Xenopus tropicalis: one gene and its partners. The protein of the gene in region 3 purifies or fractionates together with the protein of the main gene of each other region. This does not show direct contact. Links are inferred from orthologs where the notes say so. Each region holds a gene or a part of one and is shown on either strand. Other genes may lie near its edges.

Region 1 (10,413 bases), on a different chromosome or scaffold from region 3:
CAGAGGGGCTGCTGTAAGATGCCATAGACAGTCACTATTTATTGGGCTGGGGGGGGAGCTGTTTGGGCCTTGGAGTACTTCAAATCCCAGGGCCTATTTTAAATCCTAGTCTGGGCCTGGACTCTGTTGTATGCAACAGGACAGAAAACCAGGCTGGTCAGCCTGCTCTGATCATACAGGTCAGCTCTATTTCTATGGTGACACCACACCCTAAATGAAAAGGAAGGATGGCCCCTGCCATTTCCTGTAGCTTTCCCCACACACCAACGAGGGTCATCAGCCAACAAGATCTTCAGCCTGACTGCAACCATTTCCCATCATTGACAGAATGGGCTGCACGCAAAGTGATAGATAAGATCATATGTTACTGAATGTAAAGCTGGCCATACACGCACCGATAATATCGTACGAAACCTCGTTTTGTACGATATTCGGTGCGTGTATGGCAAGTCGGCCAGGTTGAAAGATTTTGGTCGGGCACCATAGAAGGCGCCTGAGCAAAATCTGCCATCAGGGCTGAATTGGCAGAAGGAGGTAGATTGTTTTAGATTGTTTTTTTATTGTTTCTACCTCCTTATCTGCCGTTTCAGCCGTGAAGGTTAGTGGCGGATTTAACGATCTTTCGTGCGACCATCGGTTGCAAATCGCCACCTTAACATTATATTCTCTACAGATGCAGACTGCCTTGCCTTAAGGGGGCCATACACGGGCAGATTTAAGCTGCTGATTCGAGTCCTTTACACCAGTTTGGAAGGTTATCAGCCTGACGCCCTACAAGCCTCCTCGAACAATATCTGGCTTAGGTGGGCATATTGGGAAAAGATCCACTCATTTGGCGAGGTCCAACGTGTATGGCCACCTTAAAGGGGTGGTTCACCTTTGATTTAACTTTTAGTATGTTATTGAATGGCCAAGTTCTAAGCAACTTTTTAACTGGTCTTTATTATTTTTTTTTTTTAGTTTTTTTAATTATTTGCCTTCTTCTTCTGACTCTTCCCAACAATCAAATGGGGGTCACTGATCCCAGTAGCCAAAAAACTATTGCTCTGTGAGGCTATAATTTTATCGTTACTGTTGCTTCTTATTACTTATTTTTCTATTAAGGTCCTCTCCTACCAGCCTCTCATTTAAACCACTCCGATTGCTAAGGTTAATTTAAACCCTAGCAACCAGATAACTGCTGAAATTACAAACTGGAAATCTGCTAAACAAAAAGTCAGAATTACTCTCTACATCAGGGGTGGCCAAAACGTTGATGGCGGTCCACCAGTCGATTTCCCATGGACTTCTGTTGGACTGCGTCTAAGCCTTGAAATGCGGCACTTTTATGTGGTGTGCATATGTATGCTGCGTCGTGTACGTACACAGGGAGGAGCCAATTGCAGTGCTAAAAAGTCTGGGCACCCCTGCTCTACATCATACTAAAAGTTAACTCAAAGGTGAACAACCCTGTAAGCCACTGTCCTAAAGTTGGCTATTCACATCTAGATTTGGTTGGGTAGATTTGCTTAAGCAAATTAACTTTAGCAGGAAATTGTGGCAGAGCTTACTGCAATCTGAACTCCATAAGTTGAATTTTGGAGCCATACTGTGATAAAGTGTACATATATGGATCTTTAGGGTGTTACCACACCCTCACATTTTAGGCCCATTCCATTTATAATATAATGACTATAAAATCTTATACACTTATTTATAGGGATATATAATTCCTATACCCTATAAATATGAAAATATTAATACATATATATATATATATATATAGACACATGTTCATCAAGTGCAAGCAGGCCTGGACTGGGAGTCAAAATAGGCCCTGGAATTCCAAGTACACAGAGGCCCAAACAGCCCCCTACCAGCCCAATAAATAGTGACTGACTATGGCATCTTACAGCAGCCCCTCTGGCATTTGGCTGAATCCACAGATTGCCAGTCCAGGCCAAGATATGAAAACCCCCTATACAAACTAATAAAAGGCCCCAGCAGGCCACTTTGTTACTTAAGTACAGTCTCTATTTAAATTCCTTTAGGTTACATCCCAGAATGAGTCCCCATGCTGTTGGACGTTGGCCACGAACAGCCCCTTTAGAATGTGACATTATTTATTACAATAGAAATTATAATGAAAATGAGGGGCACAAATGTTTCTAAATCAGTTTTTGGGTCATGTGGCTAATTCTCTAACAAAATTTAATACCCTTAAAAAACAAAAGATTAAGAATCACTGCATTAAACATATCATTTGTTCTATGAGGGATTGTCTCGGTAATTCCTCCCCTGCATCGTCCTCAAGACAATGACGCACACACTCTTAGGCCGCACCCCCAGAACCTGCTAATAACAAACAGGTTATTCAATAATAACAGCTTTGTGCAGCTGATAATAGTTAGGGATCAGCCTCGCTGCCTAGGGAGGGAGGATGCAGAGAAGAGAATAAAATACACAAGAGAGTACAGTAAATACCAAAAAATGAGAAAGTATTCTTTGAGCTACAATATAATGTCAATGACTTAGGGCGTTATAAAGGAAGAAAGTGATCTGCACAGAGGTTAGTAAATTAAATGTACACCTAGGAGAGAGGGACAGGCTGGAAAAGTTTCAGGATCTAGTGGTAAAAGGTTAGTTCCCCTTTAAACCAACACTGAATATGATTTAAACAATGATATTGTGAGAATTTTCAACTGGTCTTTTTATGGTTTATGGACATTTTTTTTGTTTTTAGAATTATTTAGCTTTTTGTTCAGTAGCTTCCCAGTTTGAAATTTTAGCAGCTATCTTGTTGCTAGGGTCCAATTACCCTAGCAATTAGCCACTGGGATGAAAGAGAGATTGGAAGATGAATACAAGCCTGAATAGATAAGAAATAAAAAGTAACCATAATATTGGAGCCTCAGAGAGCAATAGTGTTTTGGCTGCCAAATCCCCATTTGAAAGCTGGAAAGAGCCAGAAGAGGATGCAAATAACTCAAAAAAATGAAGACCAACTAAAAATTTACTAAGAATAGGAAATTCTATTCTATTCTTCCCCAGATGGAAGAATTTGTATTTATGTATATTTTTATTCATATAGCGCTCCTTAGGCAAGCAGTACTGTTGCGCAGTAATTAAACATTGCATGAAATTGTGCTATAGCGCCCCTCTATGGCTGCAGCCTGGTGGGGAAGTATTAGGCGTGCACCAAATCCAGGATTCTGATCCTGGGATTCAGTAGAAAGCCGGCACTTTTCTAGCTTCTCAGACAAGACAGTTGGTAATGAAAGACATCATTAACTTGATCCCGGCTCCCGCAAGATAAGGGTTACAGCACCCTCCTTGGCCTATGTGTCACTGTCACAATTATAGCCAACCTGACGACGTCATCCCATGTACACACCTATCTGCGTCCTGGAAAGTCTGAAATGTCTGCTTAACCCATGCACTGCCTGAATCCCAGAGAGGAGGGCCGGGCACTGATCAGATTAGAGAGAGAGATGATGACTGACACCCTATATTCATTATTGGAATCTGAAGACTTGAATCACTGTTTACACACAATGCAAAGGAATCTGCACACTCACACTGCGTCTGTGCAATTCCCAGCTGTACACACGTCCCGACAGGTGCAGCCATGGCACAATGGTAACCATTAGTGATTAATAACAAAGCGCCCAATAAATTATGGTGCCGACACGAGCAAATGCCACAAGATACAACACACATTTACCTATGTTCATCAGTTGATGCAAATTCATAATAAATGCCTCCAGATGTTGTCAAACTACAACCCCCACACCCAGCAAGATGCTAAGATCCACACGTTGCTCATTCCCTAGTTTGCGCCATATATTTTTACAGCAGAAAAACAAATAACACAAAATATCTGATACTACAGAAAATATTATGTTTTGCCCAAATCAATGAACTTACAGAGCCAGCAGTTAATATGTAGTCAAGAGGATAAAGAGCCTTTGTATAGTCCAGTTTCCCCCTTGCCTGAACATTACAGGATCCCTAGAAGTTTTTTCTTTATGGATAAATAACTTTTTTTATACCGATACTCATGCCATACATACTCAGCAATACAGGGTTAATGTAATAACAGGTGCAAAGTTTGCCCCAGTAACCCCTAGCAAACAATCATATTTATCTTTAGCAAATGCCCCTACTAATTGGTCCCTATAGGTTTTTAGAAGTGGAGCAAACTTTGCACTTGGTAGCCCATTACCGCCCAGTACTGTGAAACTAAGTACACAAGCAATTTCCTTTATTAACCACAAACTGCCCTTCAAAAGGAAGATGCAATAACATATAAAGGCTGCCTATTGCTGGGGCTCCTAGCTAATGCCCTGGCTCTGATCTATAATCCACATCCCCAGTGGCCCAGAGAAGCCCCATACATTACTGTTCCTCCATACATTACTGTTCCCCCATGCCCCTCTCCCCCAGTCTGTCATTATCCTCAGTAGGAAGTAAACAGCCCGATCCAAAGTCCAACAGGGATCTAATCTCCTTCATGTGCCCGTCCTGCTAATCTCTCTGCACTCTCCTTCTCAAACCCTTATTGCTAAACGCCATTTCCTCCTGTCTCCCTCTGTACAATGGTACATTCCTGCGCCCCCCCCCCCCCAACTTCATTCCATTGCCCTAAGCATTAGCTACCGGCCCGACTTCTGTCTCCCTGCCCCTACCCCTCACCGGCACAGCAACACTTTCCCCACCTTCCCTGCATTGCCAGGGACCCTCTTATGGAAACTATAACTCCCAGCCCCCCAACCAAGAGCTGCCAGGGAAGTGTAGCAGTTATAGTTCCGCAAGAGCTCAGGCGCAGAAAGTTGTTCCAACCTAAGTTTTTCAATGCAACAACATTTGGGGGTCCCCAAGTTTCTATCAGCCCCGACCGTACTAACTTTCTACACTCCCCCTCCTCCCTTTAACCACTCACCGGCCTCCTGTCCATGGCTGTCTGTCCCTCTGAATCTGCTTAAGGGGAATTTGTTATTCTTCCTGTTGCCTGTGACTTATGAAAGCGATCCTTCCTCTTCGGGCTGCTCTCCCTCCCACCTCCGGCCCCGCTGCTTCTCCCCTCCCCGCAGGGCTAGTGGGAGGGCCCTCCTCCAGGTATTGTGGGCGGGGCCCCAATGGGGACAGTTTACCTCACAATAGTCGTTCCTTGCTAAAAAGAAAGTAACAGGTGCTGTTTGTGAGGCACAGAGTCCCTAGAACAGAGTTTTCAAAGGAAAACGGGTTATGTTCTATAATTCTGTTGAGCCTGCCCATCAGTGGCATTTGACAACCCAAGAGTGAATAACTATATTTTGTGCCCCTGAGCAAAGCTACAGCTAAACTCTAAGGCATGTTCAGGTTTTAACTGTTCAGTTTTTAGCCTTGTAAAACCTTAACAATAATCTGGCCAATAAATGAAAAACATTTAAATATTAAGATAGTCAACATGATTTTTTTTTTCTATTAATAGTTAAAAAACAATTTCTTGTTACTACAGAGAGAAAAAGCAAGTCAGAAATAAGGCATCATTCTTCTAAATTAGCACTGCGGTACTTCAGAGCTTTCTGGATAACTGATTTCTGTGTAACAGGTTCCATTCCTTTAATTACAGGATTGGACTTACTCATCAGGCAAAAATATAGATAGAGCTAGGGTTGTCACCCTTGTGGTTTTGAACTGGACATCCCAGGTTTTCAAAGGTCTGTCTGGTTCAAAACTGTCTGTCCGGTTTGAGCCATTGAAAGAACTGGACAGAAGTGCAGCCAGTTGTGTGTAAGTGATGCAAAACCCTGCTCTGGCATCATAACCTGGTGTGACATCATTGTGCCTGCCTCTGATGTCATCTCACCCACCCCCAGCATCACTGCCCCACCCCTGATGTCATTTGCCCCACCCTTTTTTTCAGGTTTCGCCACCAACAAAGGTGGCGACCATAATTTCAGATAAGAATGAAATGAAATTGTCTATCAGTCAGTGACCATGGGCCCTCTATACATCCTGTGTCCCCAACAACTGTAGGGTTTGATCTTCTGTAGTTGCACCCCTGCTGTGGTTTATTCTCCTGTCCTGTCACAACTGAAATTGTATTTTCACAGTGGTTCAGAACAGTTGTGGTGTTTTCTCCATTAGTGGAGATATGTAGCAATAACTTTAGTTATATTTAGTTGTATGAAAAACAGTGTAGTGTTAATGGTCCCTTAAGCCCAGACACCCACCTGATAGTTCCCCTTTATTCTTTTTCCATTTCATTCATTATGGCTAGTACCACACTGGGCAGATTTTCGGTCTGATAGTTCATATTGCTTCGTTGCGTTGGCCAGGTATAGCCACACTAAATGGAATTTAGCTAAAAACTGTCTACGAATGCTGAAGGGGGATAAAATGTAATATGCAGGTTGATATTTTACTACAAAATCCCATTAGGTCCTGCAGTTGGACTGGCCCACCAGGATACCAGGAAAACTTCCGGCGGGCCCAGGTGTCAGTGGCCCCTCTTGCTTCTAACTATTTAGCCTATTTCATGGCCATTCCCTGTTTCTGTATGGGAACAAGGAAGCTTGATGGATGGAAGAATAGAGTATAGTATGTAGAGAAAAGAGACTAGAATAATAAAGAGTTTGAGGGAGGAGAGGAGGACTTAATGTTTTGAGAGTGGGCCCATGGTTCAGGGTTTTCTGGTGGGCCCCTGGCATCTCAGTCTGACACTGAGGTCCTGTGTGTATTAGTGGCAAGCAGGGAGACTCTTTGGGTTAAAATGAGCCCTTCATAACAGTCACTATTTCTTTGCCAGAACTACTTAACAAACAACTGCCCAGTGCAATCACACACTCACAGGCTAGTGCCACACAAATGCCTTACCGAATAAACCACATTGATTACTCTACACTACAGTATCTAGTAGAATTAAGTCTAAAACAACTGGACTTTTCTGAGTTTTTTTTTTTACTCTAGGAACAGCAGTTACATCTAGGTTGCTGCTCACCTTCCTATTACGGCTCAGTTGATAATATAGCTCCTACACATACCCAGCCCATCCCTGCCAATTGCCCAGTTTCAAAACAGAAAGGGGTTATGGTTGGGCTACATCTGGGTAGGGCCCAGGGGCGGGCGATCAGGCGCCCTAGGCAACCCGGCCCTTGCACCTTCTCCCCCCACGCGATAATTCATTGCCGCCACTGCGTAATGACAAGCGGAGGGGGCAATGACAAAGGAGTTAGGTGTAGGCAGGAGAGGCTCCTGCCTGGCGCCCCCCAATCGTTGCACCCTAGGCAGCTGCCTCTTCTGCCTACCCCTAGTTCCGGCCCTGCCTTGGGGCTGAATTAAGCATGTTCCTCACTGTAAGAAGCTGCATTAGAAAGGTTTATGCCAGGTAATTCAGAGAAAATCATACAGTCCTCTACAGGGAAAGGGCGTACAAGTAAAGGTCAGCTGACATACTTGGTACTGAATTTGGTAATGAATTTAAGATACTGTAATTTCCCAGCAGGAAACAGATATAGCAATCACGTGAAGAATTAACTGCTTGTGATTCCTATCTCAGCAACCACTTACTATGAGCCTTCCTAGTACAGTGCAGTGGCTTAGCAGCAGTTACATAAAGCAGTTGTTGAGGGAGCATTATGGCATTATAAAAATGCTCTGGGGCGTGGGTGTTAACCATTAGGAACAGCAAAGTCCATATAGAAAAACACAAAAGCAATCCTGCACCTCAAAGAAATTATAGGTAAAAAAATGTTTATGTATTTCTCAATATTTAAAATAATAAATCCCTTTGCCTTATACATTTAATGCCTTCACAACACTTATTCATAGGAATTGAAGGTCTTAGTGCTTTGTACCATTAAGCCCCCGAGTTTGATTCTGTTCTGGGCACCATCCTCCCACAGCCCAAAAACAAACATGCATGTTAATTGCCTCCTGATAAAGTGACCTCTGAGTGTGATGGAAAACTTAAGGTGGCCATACACGGGCCGATTCTAGCTGCCGATATTGGTCTTTTAGACCGATTCGGCAGCTTATCGGCCCATGTAGGGGCATCAAGGATGGGCCTGGAATCAGGAAGATATCGATGGGGCTCGTTGATGCGGTCCCTGAACCGACTGTGCCCATTACCGTTGTTATAATTCGATCGTTTGGCCCCAGGGCCAAACAACCGAATTAGCCTAAATTTGCCCAATATCGCTTGGCGACCTCACCAAACAAGCTGATCTTAATGTGTATGGCCACCTTTAGATTGTAAGCTCCATTGGGGCAGTTAGTCTCTGTTAATGTATCAGTGCAACATAAATACAGGATAATAACAAGATTTATAATAATGTCACAAAAGAACACTTTCTTAATCGCTTAATTTACTGCCAATGATCATGAATGTGCTGTGTCCAACAGCTAATTACATGAATAAATATGGCTCACTATTGCATAACAATGATTAGTACTTAGCACGACAATCACACCCAGCATTTCTCTCTGCAACATTTCCTGTAAGTTTCTGCAGCCTATGCTGTGTGGTGTGTTCGACTGAGTGGAAAATATAGAGTGACCAGACAGTGTGGGCTTATGGTGGGGAGGGTGGGGGTATGGGAAAATGGTTTGAGAGAAGTAAAATAGATACTGAGGGACCAATAATGGCTTAATTTTCTTAGTTCATATTGCTCTAATAGTAAATGCTATTCAAACATCAACAAAAGAAATGGGATTCAGTTAAGGCATTTTAGGTCAATTCATCAAAGGAACAGTAACACCAAAAAATGAAAATGTATGAAAGTAATTCAACTATAATGTACTGCTGCCCTGCACTGGTAAAGTTGCGTGTTTGCTTCAGAAACCCTACTATAGTTTATATAAATACCCTGCTGTGTAGCCCCGGAGGCAGCCATTCAAAAGGAGATAGATACAGATAAACCCTGTAGAATACAATGGTGTTTACTCAATACACGTTGAGATCCGCTCGCTTGGCGAGATCGGCAAGCAAGCGGATCTTCACCCGATATCCCCACCTACGGGTGGGCGATATCGGGAAGCGTGTAGGTGAAAAAAAAAATCATTCGATCGGTTGGCCATGGGGCGAATTATATTGGCGTCAATGGGGCAGTCGGTTCAGGGACCGCATCAACGAGCCGATGCGGTCTCCGATCCAACTGAATTTTCTAACCTGGCTGATCGATGTCTGGGCAATTTTATGCCAGGTATCGGTCGGGCAGGCCCCTCATTTCTGCCCCTACACGGGCTGATAAGCTGCCCAAGGGACCTTAACTCCTTTTTTTTCAGCTTGAATGGCTGCCCCCATGGCAACAAAACAGCTTATTTATATAAACTATAGTAGTATTCCTGAAGCAAATACACCAGTTTTACCAGTGCAGGGCAACAGTACATTATATTTTAAGTACTTTAAAATGCTTTCATTTTTTGTTGTTACTTTTCCTTTAAAGGGGAACTCCACCAAAAAAACAACTTCAGCTTTTTGAAAAGTAAACCTAACTTCAAGCAACTTTGCAATATACATCAGTTAAAAAATATGCAGCCTTTTCATGATTTTTAATGTAATAATATGGTTTGGAACAGTTCCCGGAGCCCCGCCCCCTGTTCCCCTGCTGATCTGGCTGACTACTTTGAGACTCAACAAAAATCCCACAACTTCCTGCATGTGTGTTATCAATAAGGAAAGGAACATCACAGTGCAATGCATTGTGGGTTATGTAGTTCCTGCTGTAACTATTGCACAATGAGATTTAGAAACAGCACAGAAACCACAGTACTTCAGTATGAATTCACCTTTTATTGGTGCGTATCACAAAATGTTTTGGGAACTTATCCCTTTTTCAAGTGATGATGATATGCACCAATAAAAGGTGAATTGCAGACTGAAGTACTGCGGTCTCTGCGTTGTTTCTAAATCTCATTGTGCAATTGTTATCACACTGTGGATGGTGTGTGTTGAAACAGCAGAAGAAAAGGAAATTTCTTGGATTTCACTCTTTTTCTGACTAAATTACAATTGTAACATCAATGTTTTAGTCCCTCCTCCCTGCAAAGATTTCAAATGATGCAGAAAAAGAAGAACTGTTTTGCAGCTGGATTTCAGCATATAAATTGGTATTTCTAGTTAAGGTGCCCAGAGGCCACCCCCTGTGCCATTTAATCAGCTGTCATATTTTGAGTACAAGTAAAATACTGGTAATTAGAAGGTACTTGCAACTAGGCCCGGATTTGTGGAGAGGCCACAAAGGCCCGGGCCTAGGCGGCAGAAGTTTAGGGGCAGTATGCCACCCCGCCGCAACGAAATTTAGAAATTTTGCTCCTATACGGAGCAATGCGGACCTCTCCCCACTGCTCCGTATGGGAGATGAACTGTATGCGCATGCACACTTGCGCTCACTGCTGCGGGGGGGTTCGCGCATGCACTCGCTGGGGGGGTTGGCAATTCACGCATGC
Region 2 (10,313 bases), on a different chromosome or scaffold from region 3:
TTATGGATACTAATCCATTGGTGAAAATGTGCCCATTGTTATCATTAGGGTGTTTATTCTTGTTGTGCTTAATAACTGAGGCATTCACTGCTTAACAGAATGTTCATCTCTTGCCTTGTATGGAATGTTAGCAAGCACATCAGAACCTTCTTTACGTAATGGAACATCAAGAAAATTCCTATTCTCTATTTTCTAACCTTAAGATTTTTAAACTCACAATACTTGCAAAACTAGTAAAGAGTGATCCTCACTGTTGACATGCGAGGGACAGAATTTTCCCTTACCCTGTACTGCAAAACTAACACTTCAGCTGCTTCAAGTGCATACTGGAAGGCCTTAGGTTAGACTTACTTTGGTAGTAATGTTCTAATTTTTATCATTTTCTCTACACAGTAAGTTGCATATTTTTACTTGGTGCAGATACTTGGAGAGACTGGTTAGACCAGTCTCTCCTTTCATGAGGGCAAAAAAAGAATGTAAAATGTGACAATGTTTATATATTCAGCTTGTTCTGTAATAGTTGAACTATTTGTGATGCCAATACATGAAGAAGAGAAACAGGAGCATAGCTTCCACATCTCTTTTCTTAAAGGAAAACTATACCCCCAGAATGAATACATAACCAACAGATTTATTTTTAACAGTTTATATCATGTTACGTGATCTATTAAAGATATATATATCAGTAAATATTGCCCTTTTACATCCTTTCCCGTGAGCCCCACCATTTAGTGATGGGCTGTGTGCTCCCTCAGAGATCACATGACCAGAAATAATGCAGCTCTAACTGTAACAGGAAGTAGTGTGGAAGCAAAAGACAGAACTCTGTCCATTCATTGGCTGATGGAGCCTAGCATGTGTGTGTGCCTTGGCTTGTTTGTGTGCACTGTGAATCCTATAATCTTAGGAGGCGGCTCTTTATTTTTAAAATGGCAATTTTCTATTTAGGATTACCCAGTAGCACATACTACTAAAAAAAAGTATATTCTGAAAATTATTTAAATGAAGCAGGGTTTTACATTGAGACTGTTCATGCAATTTTATTATATATTTTAATTATTTTATATAGAGACCTACATTGTTTGGGGGGTATAGTTTTGGTTGTTGCCTCTTTACAAACTTCAATGCAACAGTAATTTAAATGAGTACCAATCCTACTACCCAACAGTTTAGAGGCCTGGATCTAACCTGGAGTTAGAGATGTGCAGGTTGACAGTCAACCTGAACCCGCCTGCCCCCCACGCTCTGCCCGGCAGGACACCTTTATTTATAGACCTGCACTCGCCCCTCTTTGATGTCACAAAAGAGCCAGGGCAGACACGTGTCTATAAATAGAGGCTGCTGGAGCCAGAGCTTAACCTAAACCCACCCTCACCCCACAAATACTGTGTGAATGTCACCCCGAACCCTCCTGACCTGTGGGTTTCAGAATCACTGATAATCTCAAAAAGAGCTGCTGAGTTTGAAAGCATGCTATTAGCATAAAAACTAGCAATATTCTTCATTAGACTGTTGCACTGTGCATAATTAATATTTGCAATTAAGTATTTAAGGCCTGCCTAAAGTTGCTGTACAAAAAAAACCAACTTATTCTTAGTAAGAAGTTTTATTACATACACTGCACACTAGGGATGCACTGAATCCAGGATTTGGCCAAGACTGCTTTTTCGGCAGGATTTGGATTCAGCCATATCCGTGCTCATGGCCAAACTGAATCCAAACTGAATTTGAATTTGAGCGAAGGGAAAATTGTCTGCACAAAGCATTTATTTTTTCACATTTCCAATGAAGACTTATTACATTCACCCCAATCACAAATTGCAAAGGTGCTTAGATGGCCACTCATGGGACTATGCAAAGTACCCATCTATGAAAAAGGCAACAATGTATGTTTGGTATATAGGTTACTTTATTAACAATCCTTCATTTGATTGGCAAGCACCACAATAAGTGGACTAGAATCACAGCTGTTTGGAATTAAATATTCACACCAGGAAATCCAAAACCAAAGTCCAACTTTAAATTGTCATAAATTGTTCTGACTCCGTATTCCTAAAAGTAGTACCCAGAATGAGAGTTAACACCCAAAGAGCGTTACTGTTTAGAGCAGACAGAGAGGCATTTCTTCCATAGAAGCTAGAGAAAGTCACAGCATCTACAATATTACATTGGCTTATAAATAAGAACAGGAGGCTCCTGGCAGCAGCAGAAAGAGCAGCCATGGTTTCCAGTTAGCCAATGGCGCATGTTAGTAGTGATTATATTCTTCTGAAAAATACTGCAGAAGTTGTGCATATACTGGACTGGCAAATCCCGTCTCTATCCTTCCAGGCCTGCACTAGTCTTTATTCCTCTGTGCAACTGTCTAGAAGGAAGTCCAAACAATGCAACATATATGGCAGGTAAAGTAATCAGAGTACTGTGCACATACTAATAAAGGTGACTAGTGTCCTGGCAAATCTCACTGTTTACAAAAAGACTGGTTTAAAAAGCAGTGCTCCAGTACTTTAAGATAAAGGAGAAGTGATTTAAATAATATATTTGTGTAGATGTGTTTAGCTAACTGTGTGTTACCTGACTGCAGGAAAGATTTGCAATTACAACTGTTTCATTATCTCTGGAATTCTACTACATAAACTGGCATTTTTGTATTTTATCTGCAATAGAAAAACTGCTGTGTCTCTTGCAAACACTGTAACAGGGGAATCCGTAAACCACACCCACCCCAATGCCATTGCAAAATGCAGAAATAAACCAGGAAAGATTAATTCTAGGTATGAGAGGAGCTGAAATGGAAGTAGCATATCAACATACCTACCCATAATATCTTGCTAAAGGGTAAACTAAAGGCCGCATCAAAAAAAACCCACCCAGATAGCCACTTATAGTGGATTAATTAAAAAAACAAAAAAATGAAGACATCACAACTTTTCTCAAAATACCATCCCTGCAATTGCTTTAACTTTGTTTTGGTTTTAAGACAAAAACATAAAGATGAGTGATAAACACAGTGCTATTGTTTATTTCAGTACTGTTTCTATGTACATTAAATCATGTCTGTCCCATTTGCAGGATTTCACAAAGATTATGATGTGATTTTTAATGTAATTAAATGTAATGTAATCCAGTGACCTTTCATACACACACACACACATTTTTAGGTTTAAAAAAAAAAAAAAAAGGAGGGGGTCCATAAACACAGAAATATACATGTGGACAGATAATTAGAATTTTTAGAATCTGAGTTTGCTTGAATATTTCTGGGTGGTTTTGCCATTTACACAAACAATACATGCAGCAAGCCACACATACACATATATATATATATATATTGCACATAGTACAGCTTTCCAGCTTATTACACTCAAAGAAGTCAAGGTTTGCCATCCCGACTCGTGCTCATCCTTTTGCAACTTTGATACGCAGGATCACTAATCTCCCATTATACACTGGTCGTAAAAGTGCTAAGCAATCAAGTAAAGTTCTTTCTATAAGCTCTCATTACAAATCTGCTTGTTAAACTGGTAACTTTAAGATAGAAACACAACAGGATATATGAAAGACTAAAACAAACATGGATTATGTCAGCTTCATTCCAAGTTATCTTAGGCATGCTTGTCTTTTAATAGTGCTATAATAAAATGCAAGCATTAAGCCCTAGCCTAATGGCACATGTGGTCAATACTCTGCTGCCTTTTTGCAACTGGCTGAAAAGTGTCTGAACCTGTCAGTGGAGGCTTTCACAGTCAGGTTTGGGCAGTTCTCTGCCAGTAGAAAAATGCCAGCAGGAAATAAGGCATGTGTGCCATCAGCTGATGCCTGATTTCGCTGGGTCTTAATAGTCAGCAGTAAACTCAGTGGATGGGATCATATATTTTCTCAATGACCCTCAGAGGTGCAAGAACACTTAGCCCTCAACAGTGAAACAAAAGAAGTCTAACTTCCAATGGCATGTGTAAAGAATTTTTGATTTTCAAGTAGCTTCACAGCCTGGCATCATTTCAGACACAAATGCATACAAACATTAACAACGAGGGCCTGTCAAAAAAAAAAAATTAACATAATATATATATATATATATATATATATATATATATATTTTATGAGAATACGTTTTCTTTCTGTTGATCAGAAGTGCCTTAAAGATTTTTGACATTTCTGGGAAATATTAGTCTATCCCACTACTGGGTATACAACGATAAAAACAGTTTCTTGGAATGAGAACAAAATCTTAATACATTTTAACAATTTAACATGAACTACCGGAAAATGTGTGTCTAAATGAGGCACATGGAATTGGGTATGGCAAACAGTATATTACAGTGGGTCAACCAACCAAAGGTGCCAAATGACACACATAATCCAAAGCATCCAATGCAATATGCCCAAATGGCACCAGCCACAAAATGAATATTTCTCTAAGAACAGGGTTAAAAGTGAAAGGAAAAAAGTTTTCAGTTAAGACTAAAAACGCAAACTCTTTGCAGATACAAGTCATGGAAGTTAATGAGTATTATCAGTGGCACAGTACTGACAAAAAAAAAAATCAACAAAAAGAAGAAATGCCGATCTGTATTCACCAATTTCTCTTCCAACTCACTGTCTGCACAAGATGATGCCGCACACTCCTCCTTTTCCCTTGTATATGTCGTAGAGAGATACAGTAGAAGTCCACTAGGGATGGAAGGATGAGAGAATAATGAAGAGGATAAGTCATCGCGTCCAAGGGAAAAGGCTTCTTTTTAAAGTCTCTTTTCTACAGGATGCTACACATGTGAAACAGTAGTGCACTATTTTCCTCATTCTTGGACAATCCTCATGCACTAGAAAACACTACTTATTCACACAGCTTGGCCATGACAGTCCCCCACATGCTGCTGACACAATAATGTAGATGATAACCTATAGGAGAAGGGAAAAAAAAAAAAGATAAATACATTTTGCATAATAAATACTTGACTATTTGCCCACATCTAGTAACCCATAGCAACCAATGTAAAGTAATGAAAACCCCTATTACGTTGCATTTACCAAACCACTTTAAAAGCAACAGCAAGTGAGGAGGAGAGCAGCACTTACTATGGTTACAATAGCAATTATGATGGTCAACTTCAAATTTTTCATGCACATAGCTCTGGCCAAGTTTCTGCTTGTGGTCTTGAACGTGACAGACTTTAAGAAAGTGATAAAGAATAAAATTTAGTCATCAACATAATTTGAACACTAGCATTTTATAAAATGAATAAAAGGACTAAGAAATCGACATAATTCCAGTAGAGAAAACAATTTTAAAAACAGTACCAAATGCATACTTACAGAATCAACAAGGCTTTCTGTTTTATCTATCAGTAGCTCTAACCGTTCTCCTCTTTGGGCAACCAGATCTGGAAATAAAAGGCAAGGTAAATCTGTGTCAGAGAAGTGACAGTTTTCAGGCTCCAGTTTTAGGATCAAACATAAATGTAGATTCCAAGTGTTTTGTCACCTGCCCAGCTGGAAATTGCAGGGACAACAAAATGCCCTGAAGTGCTCCAGGTGGCATTGCCCTTTATATGAATAAATTACTTTAATTTACTGTTCATACTGGTCAGCCCAAACCTGGCCAACTTGTGCATCACTAACATACAGGGCAGAAATGCAATTTTAAAATGTGTATAAAGCATATCATAACGCCCACATTTTTTAGGACCCAGAAACCCCTGCTTGTGCCACTGGCCTCAAAGCCCAATAACAATGTAAACAATGTTGATTTGTCTCCCAGGGTTTTTTTTTTTTTGTTTCCTCAAACATGTAAGCAAAATTCTCAAAAATGGCATCTGTGCCAATCTCCTAAAGAACAGCTTATAGATTAAGCAAGATTAAATTAGTGCAATGAACTATGTCCAACTTATGTTGAGTCCCTTATCCGTATTATTAGATTTAAATCCAGCGAGAACATCATCTGCAACAAGTCTGCATATTTTCCCTGTGCTTGTGTGGAATTCCTCCGTTTCTCCAGTTTCCTCCCACATTCCAAAAAAGACAGAAATGTTATTTGGCACTGATTACAGTGTGTGAATGCTAGGGACCTTGGACTGTAAAATCCCCTGGGACAAGGGACTAATGTGAACAATGTAACATCTCTGCAAATAACTGTCAGCACTATATTATATGAAAATGGATATACAGTAATAATAAAAACATTAGAGCAAACATGTCTGCAGTTTGTACTTACCTATATTTCGGACCATAATTCCTTTAAGTTCATCGACTTGTGCTTGGGTCTCTGCTACACGATCAATACTCTTATTTTCAGAATGGTATTTCTAATAAAAGATAAGAAATATGTATTATAAATGCCCTGTTAAAAAATGTAGTCCACATCATGACTAAATATGTACTGTGAATGGATAGGTGTTTACTTTAAAGCCATACAGACTAACTTCTTATCACTTTGGTTATTATATTAATATATGCTTGCCCAAAAAACACATGTAATACCTTTAGTGTGAATACCTACAGCATGCCATATAAGAAACTTCTTGTACAACTTTGATACTTTGTTATAACTTTCTGAATGGTACAAATATAATTATGCCCAAGTCCCTCTGAAAAAGTTAATGTAATATTCAGCATTTGCAGACAGAAAGAGCATCTTCAGCTGTGCAAGAAGACTTATATGGATGGACCACCATGTATTGTAGTGCAGTCATTTCTAATGATTTTGATAGTAACGGATATCAGAGATACTCTCAAGAGTTTCCTGAAAATCTAGGCACTTTCACTACCTGTAGTGTACTGGTAAGGGACCTGTTACCCAGAATGCTCTGGACCCGGGGTTTTCAAGATAAGGAGTATTTTGTAATTTGCATCTCCATACTTAAAATCTACTAAAAAACATATAAACCTTAATTAAACCAAGTAGGATTGTTTTGCCTCCAACCAGGATTAATTATATCTAAGTTGGGATCAATTAAAGGTACTGTTTTATTATTACAGAGAAAAAGGAAATAATTAAAAAAAAAAATTAAATTATTAGTTTAAAATGTGGTTGATGGCCTTTCTGTATTTCAGAGCTTTCTGGAAAATGAGTTTCTGGATAAGGGATGCCATCCCAGTACTCTACAGAATTCCTCATCCATAGGGGATCAGTCTCCTATCTAGCCATGACTTGACACAAAGAACTATTCTAAAAATTACCCGAAAGGCCTTCTGTACAGGTTAACTCTGCTGAAAATGAGCAGCTATAAATATTTGTTTTAACAAAGTGTCTATACAATTAACTTACTAACACATCACCTTTGTGACAATCAATCAATCCAATTTTTGTGTCTAGTCCCGAAAACATACTAATTACAAAAAAAAAAAACACCACAAGGATCAAGGAATGTTCACACACTTGTGTCTGTTGTGAATCAAGATCACATGTTACCATGTGACAGGCTTAGAGAGATTCTATTCATAATCAGTTAATGCTCTCAAGATAATTAACTGGATATCTATAAGGCACTGTGTGAAAGGCCATTTGCTTGCAGCTAAGCAAACCCAGGTACTGCCGCTTTGCTTTTCAAATTTACCTTCAATGTCTAGTTAACATTGTAAATGGTACACAGATGTTATTCATGCTGTTTTGCAATTGGTCTTTATTCTATTTTCTGTTATTTTAATTATTCACCTTTGTATTCTGAAATATAAATCTATCTGGTTAGTAGGGTCAGTAATCCAATAACAAAAAGCAGATTGACAGTGTACGAGGATAGATTTGCATTATTACACATTATTTTATTCAGGCCAACTTCTGTTGTTTAAATCCCCACCTGACTACTCGATTCACTGACACTAGTATCCAAACAGCAGTTTAAATGGCAAACTAAAGAACTACAGAACAACCAAACATGATGAATGGCACAATCTTGTAATAAGACTGTATACAACATACCAAAATTACATTTTAAGATAAAATACCCCATTAACAGCACAAGGATGTCTGTAACACAAAATGTCCAAGAATGCTCCTGAGGTTTCTTACCAACTGTGCTGCAATCACACTAGAAAATTCACTGTTCATGGCATAGGGAAGTGCTGTCTGTGCCCTTGATCCATATGTTGTCTGAAACCGCTTCTTAATTTCATTCAAGAAATTAAATGCTCTGGAACGCTCAAAGTCCTGTCAAAGCAGAATCATGTATTAACAGGGAAGCTAGCAGTAGCTCAGGCAAATTTGCAGACTGCCTGTACTAGTGACAAAGCAAACTTCAAAGTTTACAATCGTAAACTGTAAAACACCAATTATAGACCTAACAGTAAAAGACATATGAAGATGTAGCAAAGGCATATTACATAGAATCTCTGAGCTATAACCAACATGGCTATGTGAACAAAATTAAATAGAAGGAACGTCATTTTGGCATTTTACTGCCAAAAGATTTGCCACATTAGTGCCACCTAGAACAATATATTTATTCTGCAGAAACCATTACCATACCTGAGTAAACAGCTTTAGAAGCTTTCTCCGTTTGCTTAAGATAGCAGCTGCCATTTTAAATAGCTTCCTGCCTGCAGTCTAGTTATAGCTCAGATCACACATTCCTAAGGGAGGAGGGATGGAGTTCTTAGCATTCTTGTAGGAGGAGAGAGCAATAGAGGGGAGAGGAGAGAACTGTGCAGACTATGGCCACAGGAATTGAGGATGTTTCTGAGAGAGGAAGTCAGACACTGGAACATGTTTACAAAAAAAGACACAAAATCCTGTGTTTCTTTTGATAGAGAAGCAGCATTACTGTGAGTGCTTAAGGCTGTATTTACATAGACCTTTCTAATAAAGCTTCCTTAGTTTTTACATTTTTTTCTTCTTTATCAAACATGCTTACAAGAGGATCATTTCTGGTACTTACATCATCAGTTATACAAAGGTATATTATTCTGTCTTGGCAAATGTAATGAAACAAATAGCTGAAAAGGAAGTACAGAAGCAAAATTAGTATCTGGTACTTTTTTTTTCATAACATTTGCATTGTGCAAACAAATAATAAGCACTTAAGACTGATTGAATTAGAAAAACCAAATAAGGTATAATACGCTTACACCCAATTAAAAAGTAGCAGCAAACTGTGTACTTAATAAAACCTAAAGACAAACGATGCTATTAGGTTAAAAAAAGATATTACAAAATGCAATACTTCTGCCAAGCATACAGTATCTCAAGATTGTTCTTGAGATTAAGTTATAAAACTTATGCACATGATATGACAAAAATAGAACACTTAAACGGATGTGAAGACTTATTTACTAAGCATAATTTCAACCACTAGGCTCATAAAATGTGCACTATTTAGCTCTATATTTGTCAGATTGGCAGAACCTGCATGAGTGCTTTCAGCCACACCTGTTGCTAAAAATCATAGCAGTTGAATGAGATTCTACCTCATGGAGTGGTAGTGGAGTGTTCAACATTAGTAAGCAGCAGTGCTAAGCACTGTCACTTGTATAAATACATGCATATCACTTGCAGTAACAAAAGATTTGAACAATTGTTTTACAAGCTGGAAATTATATAGTGCTGAAAAGAAACTGTGGGATCATGATTTTTATGGTATACTTATATACATCTCTTAATTACACTGTTTACATAGCAAATAATTCACTCTACCATTTAAAATGTTATTCTTGAACCAACAAATGTATTTTTTAGTTGTAATATTGGTATGTAGGCCCAATTTCAGTGCATTGTGCCTTAGTCTGAGCTTTCACATTAGAACTGCTTTCAGGTAACCTATTGTTTCTCCTACTCCCATGTTCTGCTGATCGGCTGCTGGGGGGTGGAAGGGGGGAATATCACTCCAACTTGCAGCTCAGCAGTAAAGTGTGATTATCAGAGCACAGATTACATGGCTATGGCACCCTGGGAAATGAAGAATATGGATAGCCCCATGTGGAGAAAAAAAAAAATCTGTTTGTGTTTTTGAATAATGGATTTCAATGCAGGATTCTGCTGGAGAAGCTCAATTAACTGATGTGTTTGAAAAAAATATGATTTCCCATGACAGTATTCCTTTAAAGAAGAACTAAAGCCTAACTAAAGAAGTAGGGTAGACAAGTTGTACATTATATTGGGCTTCTGTACCAGCCCAAGCCAACCACAACCCTTTAGCAGGAAGATCTGTGCCTCAATCATGCCCCAGTAGCTCCCCATCTTCTTTTTTGCTGATTCACTGCACATGCTCTGTGCTGCTGTCAATAACCTGAGCTTAGGGACCAACAAACAATATACTGTATATATACAGGCTATAAATCACAATACAAGGCTGATCAGTGAATAATAAATTATTAGTACA
Region 3 (10,413 bases):
GCTTTGAGACATCCCTAGTCATCCTGCACTGACAGGTAGGGCCACCTGAGCAAAGGAGATTTTCTTGCCTGGAAAATCTTTTTCCCAGTGCAGCATCCCTCACCATGGGGTGCTGGTTTTTGCTGCTCATCATGTGGCTAGTTAGGTAACTAACTAAGAAAAATAATTTATTGTAACCACAAAGGGGTAGATTAGCTCACCAGTAGGGTCGGGGTGAACATGCCTCAGACCTACAGCTTAAGGAGATGGATCATACCGTGGATATACAGCAGGCATTTGCAGATCTCACAAACAAGCAGAGTAAAAGAACTGCTTTCTTTATTTTAAGCAGGCATAAAACACATAGAAGCCTCATAGGTTTTGTGTACTGGGCACTTTATCATAGGCAGCCTATGATCAAGTGCCTGGTGCATGAAACGCGTGAGGCACCATATACCATATACACTCGAGTATAAGCTGATCCAAATATAAGCCGAGGTACCTAATTTTACCTAAGAAAACTGGAAAAACGTATTGACTGGAGTATAAGCCTAGGGTGGGAAATGCAGCAGCTACTGCTAAGTTTTAGTAATCAAAATAAATACCAATAAAATTACATTAATTGAGGCATCAGTGGGGTATTTGTTTTTCAATATTTATTTCAAAGAAAAACAGTAAACTAGCTCTGTATGTGGAGAAGAGGGTCAACAAAAACAATATGAGTACTACCCCACCGTCATTGCACATTGGCAAACTGGCAGCAGACCCGGTCCCGGAGGAGATGTAAGGGGAAATAAGTATTGCTAGTGGGAACCTAGGCCAGGGCACTGGAGGGTCTGGTTGCAGGTGACCTAATTTGCACACAAAGGAGAAAGGGTGCTAGTCTAGAGGGACCCATGGCACCCGACTCGAGTATAAGCTGAGGGTGACTTTTTCAGCACATTTTGGGTGCTGAAAAACTAGGCTTATACTCGAGTATATACAGTAATCTGTTTAAATTCTAAAAAGGTACTTGCATAGGTATTGATCTACACTGCACTTTGCATTTTAACAGTGTAAGTCTGTGTCCTGTGTGCTATTGCCTAAAAATGTACATATTATTACACTGAACCAACCTGTATAATAGTGAGTACTGTTCTCAACTGCACCCAGGTGGTGAGGCCCCCTGTTATTATAACACATATTTATAAAGCACCAACATATTTCACCCTGTTCCCAATAATTTAATGCAACCTTGTGTAACACTATTTTGATTATAGTGGGGTAAATCCAGGCTAGTAGATAATGTAGAGCATGTGTTACATGCGACCCCCTTTCCCAGGATGGGCCTCCGCTATATGGGAGAAAGTAAGATAGGAGCTGAGGGGGTAGTTGAACTACAACTTTCTGAGACTGTGTAGTGCAGATGATATAAATGGACGCCAGAAAGGTGCTGATAAACTATAATACAGATTTATTGGTCCAAGACACAGATGTTATGCAGGGTTATCATACTCACAGACAGGCAGATTGCAATGGTACAATGAGGAAATGCACTTTTGTAGAAGAGAGGGTATGCACCGTTTTATCCCACCTCTTGCTAGAGTCTGGGCAGGGAGACACACCTTTCAACCAGTACCCGTTGGGAGGTAGTCCAAGTAGAAGGAGCTCCTTCAGGTTGATAACCTCTAGTGGATGGGTCCATCGGGTGAGTAGGGATCAGGGGTTATCCTACCTGCCACTATCTCTACTCCGTGGCCCTGCACTGAGGCAACATTGCCGGATAGGAGAACTACTCCTGGATCTAATCACTCCTTTGGTGGCGCTAATGGCTGCCCGTTCTAGCTAGAGCTGACTATGCTCACTTTCCTAGAAAGTGCTATTAAATACTCTGCTGTGCTGGCTTATCCTCGTTCACGGGGCCCTGTCCCCGACTTCTCCAGATGTTAAGAGGGTCTCTGGGATAGAATTGGCTTTTCTGGGGCCTGTTGCTGCACCCAGGCTCAGAGGGAGCTGTGCTTAGGTAGCAGACAGGCAGCCAAAGAGGAAGCCACTTCTGCAAGAGGAGTGGTCAACCTGTATAAACCTACAAGGAATACAGTTACATAACTGAAACCTGAGTATAAGGGCTCTGCCCAATAACAGTAAAGGTGTGAAGAGGTTGGGGATAAAGCCATAGGGAGCTTAACCCTATGGGTCCCTACGCTTGTAAAAAAGTTCACCCCTATACATCAGTTCACTCTCTTATCATACTCTTTTTCCAGGACCTCATTTTCTAGCAGCAGGTGCAGTAACAGTGCATAAAAACAGATGCAAACTAGCATATGTAAAAACACCATACAAAAAGTATTTGTTCGATGTCAGCACTAAGCATAAATATTGTAGCACCAGAAATACCTATTGCTTAGCACCCAGTAGGCAGAGAAGAAATTACGCCTGCGTTTTGTCACCTTTTACATCAAGGGTTAATTTTGTGTGCTGCGCTCACAGTATTTATTTTATTTATTTTAAACTATCTTAATACCAACCTCATTGTAGTGTGTATAACTGAATGTCTACTAAGTGCCTAGAAAATGGCAATGTATATGTACAGTATATTGACATAAACACAAGTTGGGCATGATTAACAAAAGACAAAAAAAATTCTGTACATGCAATAAATATGTTACACTGTGTATAAAACACGGGGGATTAGGCCATATTTTACACTTAGCACTTTTCCTTCTTCTAAAGATAAAATATTAAAGAAATATGAATTAAGGGCATATGTATATTTGTATCTGTATTAATTTAAGTGCAACTACTTACTTTGCTCAGGGAGAGGTGCAGACAGGATCACACTGTGTAGCCTCTTTGTTTCATTAACACACTCTGCAATTTTCTCAATGTTCTGACGAATCTCCTCAATCTAAACAGATAAAAGAGTGAATAAAGCTATGGCACATTACATAGAAAATAGGATAAGGCTGAGTCAGTTACAATGGTGTTCAGAAAATTATTCAAATAAGATTACACTGGTACAGGTATGGAATCTTTAATCCAGAATGCTCGGGACCTGGGGTTTTATGTGTAAGGGATCTTTTGGTAATTTGGATCTCCATAACTTAAGGCTGCTAAAAATCATTTAAATATTTAATAAACCCAATAGGTTTGTATTGCCTCCCATAAGGATTAATTATATCTTAGTTGGGATCAAATACAAGGTACTGTTTTATTATTACAGGGAAAAGGGAAATCATTTTTAAAAATGATAATTATTTGCTTATAATGGAGTCTATGGGAGATGGCCTTTCTGTAATTCAGAACTTTCTGGATAATGGGTTTCGGGATAAGGGATCTCATACCTGTACAGGTATGGGATCCCTTATCCGGAAACCTATTATCCAGAAAGCTCCGAATTACGGAAAACCCGTCCCCCATAGACTCCATTTTAATCAAATAATATAGAATTTTAAAACTGATTTCCTTTTTCTCTGTATTAATAAAACAGTACCTTGTAATTGATCCCAACTAAGATATAAATAATCCTATGGGGTTTAAATAATGTTTTATTGATTTTTTAGTAGACTTAAGGCATGGAGATCCAAATTACAGAAAGACCCCTTATCCGGAATACCCTTGGTCCCGAGCATTCTGGATAATGGGTCCTATACCTGTATATTGTTAATTACGGATATTGGTTGCTTTGTATGTAAATCTGTATGGTCAACGTGTACCCTAATTTTTATTATTATTAATAATAATAATAATAAGGTTATTAATGAGCCCCCAATATACATGGCTCAAAATTTCCTTTTGACATTTTTCTAATTACATTTATCCCAGTGTTTCTTTTTTGTTTTTGTGTAATTTTAGTTTACATGTATGTGTCATCTGGTATCATTTATGTTGCTGTTCCAGTGCTCTGTTTCATATATATTTCTTTGACTTTTAGAAAGGATTTGCATCTAACCCAAAAAACAAACCTTTTTCCTGCTTCACATATAAATTTCTACATAGAAACATCTGTAGTGTATAGCCATTGCTAAGCTGAACAGCTAAACATTTCATCGTGTAAGCTGATTTTCACATTGCCTGTTATCAAATATGTTTTGATTCCAATACAGCCTTGCAATGTAAAATGTGTTAAAACAGGAAGCAGTTTTTCAGTAGGAAGTGTCTTAGGTCTTAGATTTACTAATCCACGAATGGTCCGAAGGCGTCCGAATTAGTTTTTTCGTAATGATCGGTATTTTTGCAACTTTTTTGTATGTCCCGCCTTTTTTTTGTCACTGTCGCGACTTTTTCGTATATTTTCCGCGACTTTTTCGTCGCCATCGCGAAAAAATCTTATTGGTTTTTCCGCCGTTTACTATCGCTCAATGCGAAAAAATCGAGACGGCGACGAAATAGTCGCGTAAAATACGATAAAGTCGTGCCGGCGACGAAAAAATCACGACAAATACGAAAAATCGTGACGGCGACGAAAAAGTTGCAAAATTTTCATTTCCAATACGATTTTTTCTCTTTCGGGATTCGGTTCGTGGATTAGTAAATCTGCCCCTAAGTGTCTTTCAAAATTACAGAGCACTTATACATGCCCATAAGTCATGTAGAGCTATGTTTTTGTAGCATGTGTACTAGTGATGAGCAATTTTGCCATTGGAATTTTTTTTCACGAAACTGCTTCAAAAGTTCAGCACAACAAAACTTTGGACTTTTGCTCATCATTAAAGGAACAGTAACACCAAAAAATGAAAGTGTATAAAAGTAACTAAAATATAATGTGCTGCTGCCCTGCACTGGTAAAAGTTGTGTGTTTACTTCAGAAAATCTACTATAATTTATATAAATAAGCTGCTGTGTAGCCACGGAGGCAGCCATTCAAAGGAGAAAAGGCACAGGCACATAGCAGATAACAGATAAAACACTATTGTATTCTACAGAACTTATCTGTTATCTACTATGTACCTGTGCCTTTTCTCCTTTTTTCCAGCTTGAATGGCTGCCCCTGTGGCTACACAGCAGCTTATTATATATATCATATTAGTGTTACTGTAGCAAACACACCAGTTTTACCAGTGCAGGGCAACAGTGCATTATATTTTTATTACTTTAAAGCTCTTTCATTTTTTAGTGTTACTATTCCTTTAATGTGTACATATCAGATCTAACCTGAGAAAAAAAGTCATCCATAAAAGCTGCATTGTCAATAGAGATGTCAACTTCATCTTGATCATCAGTGTCTCTTGTCTACAAAATAAAACAAACAATACATTATTTACATAATAATGAGATTTAAAAAAATGTAAAAAAAAAAACAAATCTTTTTGTAGTTCTTGCACTTGTTATTGGTTATGTCACGTAGCCTGTTGTAAGTCTATTTATTGTCCTCTGCCACTAGTTATGTGACTCATGTTTCCTCTGGCTATCCCGTGACCAGTCTATATCATCATTTTATTCTTGCAGTTTCTGTCTCTGCTGCTCTATCGGTTTGTCTCATTTCTGAATGTTTCCCAGCTGGCTATTTTCTGATCTCACTCTAGTTGTCTCTTTTCTCTGTGCGTCTGTCTCTCTTGGTGCAGATGGCCAGTGGATTATCTTCTAATACCTATAACATGTTATTAAGGATTTTTTTAAACTGTGTAATGGGGGAAGGGAAAACCACACAGTGTAGCAAGAAAAATAACTCTGTATGCATACAAGTCCAAAAAACAAAACAGTTATATCTTGAATAAAATAAAGAAGAGGCTGATACCAAGTAAATCTGCTAAAAATTGTAGCATACTATACTGATGCACACAATTATCTTTACCATATTTTTACCTTTATGAGAAAAAGTAAAGGCAATGTACAGTTAAATATTCTTACACTGAATAATTCAAAGGCTAATGGTTAAGTGAGAAAAACAGCTCTCTGTGAATGGTTTCATAATCTTTTTAGTTAGCCAATAAATCTAGTTTGTTAATCAGTCATCAAATACAACAACTGTACATTGGAAATACAAGTACACTGATACTTTGAATTTTAGATTTTAGTGATAACTTAATTGGTGGCACAGAAGCTAGTACACATTGTACAGTTTAAGCATAAAAAACGATGGACAGATTTACATCCAGGTGGCAGAATTTTCACATTTGTCATTAAATAGATTACTGTGGCCATGGGAGGTTCCAAGAAAATAACCTGTAAAACTGGTTTGTGGATGTTGATTTCCTATTAACCACTTAAGACCTTTTAACTCCCATACACTAACAACAATTGCCTGTTACTTTGATTTGTGGACTTACCGCTTTCAGTTGATCTAGCCGATCCTTCATGATGAAGAAACTTCTTAGTGAAAGTCACTGTTTCTCTTTTTCACGTTTCTGTAATCTCCTGGCTTATTTTCAAAGCTTTTTTTTTTATCTGTTCCCTTTTCCAGTGTTAGTTGAGAACAGAATATGCAATACGCTTAATCTGTCCTTCAGAGTGTAACATTCTTTTCTTCTGTGTACCTTCTGTGTACCATTCTTTAATGTAGCTCCATTAAAATGTCATAGATCAGCAACTGTTTTAGAGGTCAATTTTCTCTTCCTCGTTTTGTGATTCACTAATTCTCTGATTCTACTCGCTTGCTGTTTCCCTGTAAATCCCCTGCCTCTCTCTTTGATCAGTTCTCTCACAAACACAGCTCCTCCCTAATCCTTCCAGGAAGATGTAAGAGAGAGAGGTAGGACTAAAAGGAGAGAAAGGGAGGGGTGGCTACAATGCCTACCTTGACAGGTACATCAGCAGCAAAGAGCCACGTAACAAACTGACAAAACAACATACACGATATATTCACTGTTGAACTAAAGAATGAATTCACTGTATGCACTGTATGTTCTGGACACACCTAAGTATCCTGCCCATAAATCTATAAATCTAAATCTATAAGACCAAATAAAAGTCTATATTTTTTAAATGTGTTTTACATGCCTTAATTAATAAAACAAACATCTAAAAAGGGTTAGAGAACTTCATGCATTAGTTGTTGCCCAAAATTTATTAATGGCACACGTTAAGTTGTATTGTATGCACAGAAGTTGCGGTACACACTTTTTTTTTTAAAGGTTTTTATTTTGCATTTTACAAACAAACACAAATAAACAAAAGAAAAGCAGATAAAATAAATTGGTACTTACATAATCATTAGGTACAATCAGTTACATTATAAACTTAGTGACAGTTTTAAAACTTCATGTTATACCAGCTCGTCACAGTGCACCAAGGGTTGTGTGTGGGATAATCGTCCGGTAGGGATATACTGGGGTTGGCATCTAGCCAGGGTCCTATATTTTCTCAAATTTCCCAGTGGTGCACACTTTTTACCAAAATTTATGGTATGACTTCCGTCATGCAGAATTAATAATAGAATTTGTGTCTGATTCACTTGGTGGAAGTCAGTTGCAACTATCAATAAAACCAGTAAGGAAACCCTTTGTGGCAATGCTGAACACATGTTACATATGTTACGTACGTAATTTTTCACAGCATGCTGAAGGGGCACATTGGTACTTGCAGACAATGAGTTTGTATGAATGCAAATAACATCAATGTAAATTTGCACTCACTTTTGCTTATATTAGTGCATTTTCCATATTGCACTTGATATCATAAATGAGGCCTAATGTTGTAAGATATTCTGTACTAGTACACATAGAAAGTAGGTGTAAGGGTACCTGGTGGTCTAGTGGGGCGGCCTAGGCGCGGGCGCGTGCGACGTGCGGCCCTTTAAGGCTTCTGCCTTGTGCGCATGCGCGCTCGCGTCCGGCGCCTCTACGCATGCGCACGCGCGTCTACGCTCGGCGCGCGCATATGACGTCACGATGGCGCCAAATTCAAATAATTAAGGTGCTTCTAGCTTGAAATCATTGCCCAACGTAGGTTCTGCTTCCTGTAAGTTCCTGGGTGTGTTTCTCTGGTGTTCCTGCTGTGTTTTGACCTTAGCCTGTACCCGACCTTCTCTTGTTTGCTGCCTGAATCGACCATTGCCTGACCGACTATTCTACTGGATCCTGACTTTGTACTGCATTGCCCGATTGTTGCTGACCCCGGCCCGTCCTGACTACGCTTGTGTTCCCCCACCTTCCTGTCATACAATTGGTTCCCGTGCCTGCTCAGAACTCTCTCCTCGGGTCTCTAACAACAAGTCCTGGCGGCATCCGAGTAGCGAAGGGCTCCTCCCGACGTGAAAGGTGGCGGTTATAGGCAGAAGCGTGAGCCGAGACCGGGTCCTTGGAGTCTGTTCTGGGTTTTGGGATACTGATCGTGACATTACGTTGGGCCCTTAAACATGGACCCTGAAGGGGCTGCTGCGTCACCTCCATCCCCTGAAGTGATTCGAGCAAATCTCCTCCAGCGTCTTAGGGAACAAGAAGCCCAGCAGGACCAGATTATCCAGTGGCTCCAGAGACTATCTGAAAGGTTGGATGCGCTCCAACAACAGCCTGCCGCTCCTACTCCCGCTTCTCTCCCAGGAGGCGGTTCATCACACACAGCTTCAGCAATGTATGTATTTGAGCCTAAGGTCCCGTTCCCTGAAAAGTTTTCTGGGGAGCGTAGTAAATTTTTTGCTTTCCAGGAAGCATGTAAGTTGTACCTTAGCTTCCTCCCTCGTTCTTTTCCCACGGAGGAGCTGAAGGTTAATTTTGTTATGACCCTACTGCTTGGGGATCCTCAGTTATGGGGGTTTTCCTTACCACCCTCCGATCCAGCCCGTACATCCCTCGATTCCTTTTTTAAAGCCATAGCGATTATCTATGACGATCCTGATCGTTCTGCCTCTGCTGATTCCGCTATTCGTAACCTTAGGCAGGGTAAACGACGGGTTGAGGATTACTGTACTGAATTCCGCCGTTGGGCAGTAGAAACGGGGTGGAATGACATTGCCTTACGTAGTCAGTTTAGAATCGGGCTATCTGACGCTGTGAAAGACAGCCTGATCAATTTTCCCGCCTCATCCTCCCTAGACTCCCTAATGTATCTGCCCATTCAAATTGATAGGAGGCACAGGGAGAGACGTCAGGAGAAAGTATCCGCAGCTTCTCCACAACCCTCTCATACAGAGTTTATACCTAGACCTGAGGTTGCCTTCTCTAAGCCCTCAGAAGAACCTATGCAGCTGGGTTCTACCCGTTTATCCTCTGAGGAAAAGGATCGCAGACAGGCTAATGGGTTGTGTTTGTACTGTGGGGATAAAGGTCATTTTCGTAGTACTTGTCCCAAAAGGCCGGGAAACGACAGAGCCTAAGCAGATCTGGGGAGTTCTGCTTGGGCAATGTCGTTTCCACTCCCCAACCTAGTTTATCCAAAGTCATGGTTCCGGTCCTTTTGGGATGGGAGACGAGTAGTGAGGAAAGCTTGGCATTTATTGATTCTGGGGCAGAAGGGAATTTCCTAGATTCTAATTTTGCTTGCAGGCACGGAATAACCACACTTCCTTTATTCCCTCCCATCAAGCTAGTTGCCATTGATGGTACGTCTCTGGGTCGTGGGCTTATTTCCTCTAAGTCCGTAAATTGTTCCATGTCCATAAGGTCACACCATGTGGAACAAATCTCCTTTCTCATCATAGATTGCCCGCATACCCCAGTGATCCTAGGTCTCCCTTGGCTGCGTAAGCACTGTCCCCAGATTGATTGGTTAACTAGTAGTATACTCCAATGGGGAACAGATTGTCAGACCTTATGCATGAAACCCGTCCAGGCTCTGGCCGCAACCTCTTTACAGGGGCTACCTGCTCCTTACTTCCCTTTTGCGGACGTCTTTTCTAAAAAAGCTGCCGAGACTCTTCCCCCACACAGGACTGTGCCATTGATTTAATCTCTGGTTCCTCTCCTCCTAAGGGTAGAATTTACCCCTTATCTCTACCCGAGACCCAGGCTCTGGAAGAGTATATAAAAGAGAATTTGGAGAGGGGGTTTATAAGGCCCTCTTGCTCCCCAGCAGGAGCAGGGTTCTTTTTTGTAGAAAAGAAAGATGGGGGTCTCAGACCATGTATTGACTACAGGGGTTTAAACAAAATCACGGTTAAAAACCGTTATCCTCTTCCCTTGATTTCCGAACTCTTTGATAGAGTCAAGGGTGCCACCATTTTTTCTAAGCTCGATCTTAGAGGCACTTATAATCTAATACGAATTCGGGAGGGGGATGAATGGAAAACTGCCTTTAACACCCGCGATGGGCATTATGAATATCTGGTAATGCCCTTTGGGTTATGTAACGCCCCTGCGGTTTTTCAAGAATTAGTGAATGACATATTCCGTGATCTTCTAGGTCGCTCTGTAGTGGTGTACTTAGACGATATTTTGATTTATTCTAATAGTCTCTCTGATCATCGTGCCCATGTTCAGGAGGTCTTATCTAGATTAAGGCAGCATCACTTGTATGCAAAAATTGAGAAGTGTATCTTCGAAGTTTCTTCAGTTCACTTCCTGGGCTATATTATTTCCC

The links.
Region 1: the proteins of stx3 (region 3) and vamp8 purify together in Homo sapiens (affinity purification with mass spectrometry; 4 studies listed by BioGRID and IntAct, counting the BioPlex papers as one, with this or other methods). This does not show direct contact. The link is inferred for Xenopus tropicalis from reciprocal best matches to the Homo sapiens genes STX3 and VAMP8.
Region 2: the proteins of stx3 (region 3) and vamp7 purify together in Homo sapiens (co-immunoprecipitation; 3 studies listed by BioGRID and IntAct, with this or other methods). This does not show direct contact. The link is inferred for Xenopus tropicalis from reciprocal best matches to the Homo sapiens genes STX3 and VAMP7.

The regions. Positions count from the first base shown.
Region 1 is NC_030679.2:125,646,620-125,657,032, reverse strand, and holds the start of vamp8 (vesicle-associated membrane protein 8), read right to left. Parts: upstream 4,960-10,413; 5' UTR 4,937-4,959; coding exon 4,922-4,936; intron 1-4,921. UniProt on the Homo sapiens protein: SNAREs, soluble N-ethylmaleimide-sensitive factor-attachment protein receptors, are essential proteins for fusion of cellular membranes.
Region 2 is NC_030684.2:65,379,874-65,390,186, reverse strand, and holds the end of vamp7 (vesicle-associated membrane protein 7), read right to left. Parts: intron 8,932-10,313; coding exon 8,874-8,931; intron 8,147-8,873; coding exon 8,009-8,146; intron 6,306-8,008; coding exon 6,215-6,305; intron 5,385-6,214; coding exon 5,317-5,384; intron 5,173-5,316; coding exon 5,080-5,172; intron 4,903-5,079; coding exon 4,834-4,902; 3' UTR 1,892-4,833; downstream 1-1,891. UniProt on the Homo sapiens protein: Involved in the targeting and/or fusion of transport vesicles to their target membrane during transport of proteins from the early endosome to the lysosome. Required for heterotypic fusion of late endosomes with lysosomes and homotypic lysosomal fusion.
Region 3 is NC_030683.2:60,556,466-60,566,878, forward strand, and holds the start of stx3 (syntaxin-3), read right to left. Parts: upstream 6,461-10,413; 5' UTR 6,258-6,460; coding exon 6,228-6,257; intron 5,191-6,227; coding exon 5,113-5,190; intron 2,867-5,112; coding exon 2,767-2,866; intron 1-2,766. UniProt on the Homo sapiens protein: Potentially involved in docking of synaptic vesicles at presynaptic active zones. Apical receptor involved in membrane fusion of apical vesicles.